2 linked regions of the Drosophila melanogaster genome follow. The protein of the gene in region 2 interacts with the protein of the main gene of each other region in a pairwise test. Each region holds a gene or a part of one and is shown on either strand. Other genes may lie near its edges. The genes, in order: CG2698 and Obp47b.

Region 1 (3,928 bases), on a different chromosome or scaffold from region 2:
TCAACTTGTAACGAATCAATATGTATTCATATTTCAGAACTCGGTCATATTTCCACTTGCTGGTCAGAGTCTCAGAAAAACAAATTCATGTTTCGCGCCAATAAAATGTGCAGCAAGTAGCTTTTGTAAGACTTCGTCAAAACGCATCGGAAAGATACTGGATAAAATACCGATATGAACTCTAATAAGGCATACTTTATAAATATTTTAAATTATATGCATATAAGCTTCTTTTTAACAATTAAAAAATATTCAAAATGCACAGATAGCTGCTTAATTATATAGCAAATATGCGTACATCAAATACCATAAATCCGAGTAGTGGAAACAAGTTATTAGCATATTATATAATGGCTATTTTGGAACAAGCTAGTTTTTCCCAAATACTAAATCAAAAAGATATACATGAGATGCAAGTCCTCTTTGTAATGATATAAAGAAATATAAAATTATAGACGGACTTAATACATTCACTGTTATCTGTGCTGATAACTGTTCCATTTGAATTTAGTGGCAAACCACCACAACTGTTTGACCACTTGAGACTAACCCGTTTCACCATCTGGTAACACCTGGTCGAGGAATGGAGCCCAAAGTGACGATCCACAGATATTATAGCCGGCAAGCGAAATATGAAGGAGCCGTGGAAGCGGACTTGGAACTGTGCATCAAGCACTGCGGCGGCGACGTGGTTCGCATCGAACTGGTGAACCGGCTGCATGGAATCCAACTGCAGCGCAAGTTGCGTCGACTACTGCTGCTCATGTTCCTATCTATCGCTTATTTTGTGGGGACCTGCGGGTTTGATAACAGAACGATTAGTTTCCTGCAGCCCCGTATTCTGTACCCACTGATAACGTGTGCTTCCGTGGCCATCCTGCTCATCCGATCCACTCTGAACCTGGTGCAGGCTGAGCGGTTGTTCTACAGCTGGGACATGGCACTCCAAATGGAGACGGTGCGCTCCTTTGGCAGGGAATCGGTCCTCTGCGTCCAAAGGGGACACATCGAGGACATAGTGCTAAACGAAGTTATTGAAGACGTACGAACTATTGCTGATAGACATACGTTAAGGATTCAAGTTCTAATGTTTCTAATATTTATTCACTTTGTTTCTCTTTCAGTTGGACGTAAAGTACATGCTTATATTACGTACAAAAGGAAGTCAATTCAAGAAGCGCCCTATAATACCCCTATTCAATGTGAGTTCACTTTCGTTCATGTAAACGTATGTATTTAATGATTAAGCTCCTTTTTTCCAGAGTCAATCCCCCTCAATTGAGTGTCTGCAGCACACATATCACGTGCTGCATAAATATTGGCTGAACAGCACCAAAGACCGGTCAGAAGAGTCCTACAGCAAGGACAAGCAGTCCTTAGTGAATTCGTAGTCCTTGGCCATATCGCTGAACTGTTAAAGTATTTATTAGAGACTTAATAACATTTAGACAAACTTACTTGTACCGTGGCTGTAGTCTTTTCATCTTCTGGAGGTAGTGGTGGTAATTGTGGAACCTTTAACTCGGTTTTGACTATATTGAAATCAGCACGGACCTATACGAGATTATATGTAATTGTGAATAAAGTAAATATTGCAAATTTGAGATTTTACAATTGCAGCTTACCAAATTGTTCAGTTCTGATCTAAATTTCTTTTTGAGTACTTGGCGGTAGGTTTTTAGGTACGTGTCCTTGTTGCTGTTTAGTTCCTTCTGGATATTTTGCAACTCGATCAACTGCTGCAGTGAAAAGTCTGTACATAATTTGTAGTATTAATGTATTTCTATAACAGTAAAGATTAATTTTAATGCGCTTACTTTCCATGGCGTCTGTTTTTTGTTTTGAAAATGTGGCTGTGTTGAAAAGCGTCAATGGCCTTCATTACAGTAAGTATGTGATAAAAATTACCCTTTTTACGTACGCCTGTTTCGCATCAATAGCCAATTTGTAAAGATTATATCTTGTATGCTCCTAGGCAATTGTTTCTAAGATATATCTATGTGTACTTTTTTTTATAATATTTTATACAACAAACATTAATTATTTCATGCGATATTATTTCTGTTTTAGGGGATGCGCACTGTGTATCGGCTGGCTGCCAGTGTTGCGAACCGACCCACTTCCCAGCCCTGCCCGCCTGACGTAATTTGGCAGAAACGACGTATTTTTGTTTATGTGAGTCCGCTCCCCGCCCCTCATAAAGTGAGTGGCCAGCTGCTCGTCCAATGACCACCTCTAGTTGCGGAATTTAGTATCTCCTTGTCGGAATCCCACCCAGGCCCCGTAGGAATCCATCTGTTGCTGACCACTGAACACTGAGGCATTTCATCAAAAGTGAGTTTCCATCAGTGGAGCAGTTCCGAGAACAGTCATTCGGCTGTGCTACTCATATGGACATGAAGCTCTAATCCCGTTTTCTCTATCCGACTGCAGTTCCCCGTTTCTCCGGGCACACGCAAAATGAATCGGTCCGAACCGATTCCCATTCGACGGGACCGCTCTTTTGACAGTGTGATCAACCGCCTGCTCCGTATGAGGTCCCAGAATCATGAGAGCTTTCGCGCCGCCATGTACAATTTCCTGATCGCCGCAGGAGTTGCGGCATTCGTCGCTGTGTGCTTCATTCTTGGGCCCTTCGTCCGTCCATTGCTGTGGGCCTTCCTCATGGGCGCCGTGCTCTTTCCATTCAAGCGACGTTTGGCGGAGAGCGTAAACAGTTGGTTTCACCGCTTGGAGGTGCGCGACTCCAATGTACTGGTTTCGATCTGCCTATCGCCGCTGGAAGCCACAGAGCATTGCGGGCGGTTGCTGATCGGGTGGCTCTGCGAACACTGGCAACTCCTCCTGGCCGGATGCGGAGTGGCCGGGTGCATTAAGCTGCTGGTTTTATATGCACCGAAGGGTTTTCTGCTGGCCATCTGGCATTGGATCACCTTTTCCCATGGCTTGTTCGTTCAAATTATTGGATTCCTCAACGTATACGTGGTAAGTTCCTTGTCGATTTTTCGATGGTGAATCATAGGAAAAAATCTTAAAAAAACCAGTTGATATAGAAAAGAACGAAAAAACAGAACATTTTTAATTGATTGCAGCTCATTTCCTTGATCGTGGTCTACTTGAGCTGCGTCCACTTCTTTTGGAGGCCAGAGAATAGTGCCCACTTCGTGGTCGCCGGACAATCCATGTGGATAGCTGTAGCGGGCTATCTGAGTAGCTTTCTTGGCGCCCTGCAGGTGCCGGTATTTCTACTGGTTATGACCTATGTAACAGCATCTACGGCATATCATCTGCAAACCCTAGATGATTCGGGATCTTATCTTCACCGCCTGCAAAAGTTGTTCGACAAGAACGATTTTGAGCGATCGCTAAGCAACTTCAGCATTTGTGGCAGACCAGGCAACGAGCCACTGAGTCCGGGGCTGCAGTCGGATGTGGAGGATGTATCGTTAAGTGACACTGTCGACTCGACGGACACGTTTGATGTCAAGCCAGAAACGGAGGTTCCCAGTCACCAGAGCGACACATTCTTTAAGCTCCTTTTTTATGCCTGCTTGGGCACATTCCTCTATCGCAACGTGTGGATGTTTATCCTAGCGGCAATCCCAGTAATTCTGCATCTTATTTACACCGTAGGAGAGTATACGGGAATTACTAAATTTGTTTGCAACAAAATTAGCGAAGTTTACGCAGCGCTGCGTGTGAGTTAGACATAAAATTCGTATATTATGAATTTACATTTTTTATATTTATGTTTGCAGTTCTGGGCAATCGAACACCATTCTGCCGTGCTGCCACTCTGTCTACCTGGTGTCCTGGAACTAAACTATAAAATCAACACTATCGTGCGGGATTCACTAAAGGCCTCCGTTGAATCAGTCACCTCCATCCTAATGATCATCCTCATGCTGCTTATCATCGTGTTTCTAAG
Region 2 (3,386 bases):
TTAATTCTAAATGCGGTAATTATATAAAGTATTCTTAGTTTGTGACCGAACGACTGCTGCTGAGAACTCGACTGACTGCAACGCTGACTTCCACTCGACTCCACTGCTGCCTTGCGATCGTTCCTTCGATGACTGATTGTCGATAACTTCGATTTCCGACAATCATGTTGCTGCTCAACAGCGCTGCCAACCGGGTTGTTGCCAGCCTTCAGCCTTACTCCATGTTACATAAATGTATATGGTGCGTACTTCTATGATTAACGGAAAGAACAACAATATAAAATAGCATTTTCTTTATATTTTATTTCAAACCTAAACAAAGTGAGATAATCTAAAAAACGGTTAATATTTCGTCACAAGTTTTAATTCAGATCGTTTGTATACTTCAGGTGCGATCGTCACATAGTTACTACCTCGTTAATTAGTTCCAGCGATCCAAAATTAGATGAATATAAAAAGTTAATTTGATTCTTATTTAATGACTACTTTTTATAAACGTATGTACATTGTACAAGCACCATCTCTATCAGGTCGTGATGTTAGGCACCCAAACCGCACTGCGTTACGTAGGCCTTGGCCAGAGTACACTGGGCATTTGGAGTCCACCGATGATCGGGGCAGTTCTTGAAGTACTCCATGTAGGTGCACCCAAGGACGATGGCTGAGAAGGGGCTGCATCTTGGTTGTTGCTGCTGCGTCTTTTGCTGCTGCACCTGTTGTTGCTGCTGCATGATCATGGCCAGTCTGCGCTGCGATTGGGGCTCACACTTGGAGAACGCCATGGTCATGGTTTCCACGTAAAGGGTATCGTTGGAGAACTTAGCGGAGAGATCACTGCGTATGTTTGCCAGGTTTAGTTTCTGGGGCTCATCAATATACTTGGAGGATGTGAGGATGCACTCAGCTAGGCACTAAGTAGATAATGTATTATGTATTGCGACTTCTTAACAATTTCATAGGCTGAGATTACTCACTGCTGCCGTGTCCAAAGATGGAGGACCTCCTGCCTTCTGTCCATTTGCTGTTCCTAAAATCCGTTGGGCGCACTGCTCAGCCACCTGGTCGCGACCCCCATCCTTGCAGCAGAGTGCGGGATCCTAGGAAAGTGTCAAAATATCTTAAGAATCACTTTAAAATTAAAAAAAAACCAAACTCAAAACCCACCACTAGTTGCGGTGGTCTTTGGCAATCAATCGTGGCTTGGCCAAATACTAGACGAGTATTTAGGGCCAGCGAAGCGAAGATCACAAGAAGCTGACTGGGCGACATAGCTGCAATTGAGTGAGTAAAATGACTGATATGAATATGAAATCGCAAGGCCCATTTTATATCCCTCACGCAGCTCCAAATCTAATGGAACGAAAAGAGTAATGGCCACTTAATAGTGCCAGCCACGCATGACCAGAAAAGCCCAGCAAAAGTTCATTGTTGCAATCTGCTGCTGTTTGGGGCCAATGTCATAAATAATGTCATGTTTTGGGCCATTGACATTGCGGTAAGGTTATAGTTCGTTATATAAGCATAGAACGTTCTTCGCTCAATTAAACAGCAATTGCCGAAAAAAAACTGTGGTGCTGGGAATGCTGCTGTAAAATGTGTCATGGTGCTCGAAATGGTCTATAATTGCGAGAATTATGTTCCAATTCGGTAAAAGGAACATGATTTGGCTTTGAGAAATTTAATATTTCTAAAATAATCAATGACCTAATTAGATTTCCATTACGAATTCTGCCGCCCAATTAATGCACCAAGTTGGCAGTACCAACATGATGAAGATTCAATCGATTGCTCAGTTATCGATAACCATGGACGCGGGCACCAAAATGTGAGTAAAAAACATGGTATAAATTATATGATTTAAGGGTTTAATATTGTTTATTTCTCCTAGCCTAGTTGTGGGCGATGTGCGAGGTCGCTTCAAGCAGCTATTTCAGCGCGTGGAGCAGGTCAACAAAAAAGCGGGACCCTTCGAAATCCTTTGCTGCGTCGGTGACTTCTTCGGGGAGGACAAGCAAAACGAGGAACTGATTGCCTACAAAAATGGTTTTAAGCATAGTAAGTTAAGTGTAATATAAGCATTTATTATTCTCTTAACCCTTTCCCTGTACTTAGTCACTGTTCCCACCTATATCCTGGGACCCAACCAAAGGGAGCATGAAAAATACTTTGAAAATCTGACGGACGGTGAAATCTGCACCAATCTTACGTATCTTGGTCGACGTGGGGTCTACACGCTGAGCAGTGGTGTTAAAATTGCCTATCTAAGTGGTTTGGAGGCACAGGGCACTGCAGATTCCGCTGGCTCGGAACACGAGTTCACCAAAGCCGATGTCATCGCTGTGAGGAACTCATGTTTGGTGTCCAAGAACTGCTCCACAGAGTACCGCGGTGTGGATGTGCTCCTAACATCGCAATGGCCCTTTGGTATGCAGGAGAAGGAAAACGTAAATATACATCTAGAGCACTTGTTACTGTGAAACTAACTAATTCCTCTTCTCAGGCCACAGCATCCAAGTTGGTATCATTTCTTTGTCGTGAAATAAAGCCGCGCTATCACTTTTGTGCCATTAATGGAACACACTACGAAAGCGCACCCTTTCGGATGCCCAAAGATGAGACTACCCAGTTTGAACTGTGCACTCGCTTCATTTCCCTTGCGGAAGTGGGAAATGCCGAAAAAGCCAAGTACATCTATGCACTCAGCCTGAAGCCAGTAGACAAATCACGCTTATTGGACCTAGCGCAGAAGACAACAAATGAAATTCCGTGTCCTTTCATTGGCTTGGACTTAGGCGGAGCTATTGGCAAGAATGATTCGGTGGGTAACCTTTACATATCTATAAGTACTCCAAGTGACTAATTATATATTCTTTCAGTCAGAAAACCGACAATACTTCTACGACATGGATGGTGGCAGACGCAAGCGACAAGGCGGTGATAATAACAAAAGAGATAAACGTCCTAGAATACCGCAGATTGAGCAAGGTTTGTCTAGTACTTAATTTTACAAGCTGCATCCTTAATACTATTCCTATATTTGTAGATAAATGCTGGTTCTGTTTATCCTCACCTGATGTGGAGAAGCATCTCATTATCACTGTGGGCGAACATTTTTATCTTGCTCTGGCCAAAGGACCGATTAACAAACACCATGTCATGATATTGTCCACCAAGCATGTGCCCTGCGCTGCTCAACTAAGTCCAGATGATTGGAAGGAGCTCAACAAGTTCAAGGCAGCTTTGCGAAAGTTCTTCAAAACGTTAGGCCAAGTGGTGTGTTTTACTGAACGGCACTATAAATCGGTTCACCTACAAATCAACGCGCTTGCCTTTGAAGAAGGCTATGCCTGGAAGATAAAACATAGTTTTGAGGTATGCTCACGACA

Evidence for each region.
Region 1: the proteins of Obp47b (region 2) and CG2698 interact in a two-hybrid assay, tested with the Drosophila melanogaster proteins (one large-scale study listed by BioGRID).

Annotation. Positions count from the first base shown.
Region 1 is NT_033777.3:7,999,462-8,003,389, forward strand, and holds the start of CG2698 (uncharacterized protein), read left to right. Parts: upstream 1-2,100; 5' UTR 2,101-2,334; intron 2,335-2,433; 5' UTR 2,434-2,460; coding exon 2,461-2,985; intron 2,986-3,092; coding exon 3,093-3,698; intron 3,699-3,758; coding exon 3,759-3,928. Other genes in the region: PIG-H (phosphatidylinositol glycan anchor biosynthesis class H), read left to right, coding at 584-1,042, 1,125-1,202, 1,263-1,391; Kmn2 (kinetochore Mis12-Ndc80 network component 2), read right to left, coding at 1,355-1,411, 1,459-1,554, 1,626-1,753, 1,818-1,824.
Region 2 is NT_033778.4:11,301,708-11,305,093, forward strand, and holds Obp47b (Odorant-binding protein 47b), read right to left. Parts: upstream 1,281-3,386; 5' UTR 1,270-1,280; coding exon 1,165-1,269; exon of another isoform or gene 1,098-1,164; coding exon 975-1,097; exon of another isoform or gene 912-974; coding exon 540-911; downstream 1-539. Other genes in the region: CG7741 (uncharacterized protein), read left to right, coding at 1,743-1,825, 1,889-2,055, 2,113-2,444, 2,501-2,818, 2,877-2,985, 3,044-3,372.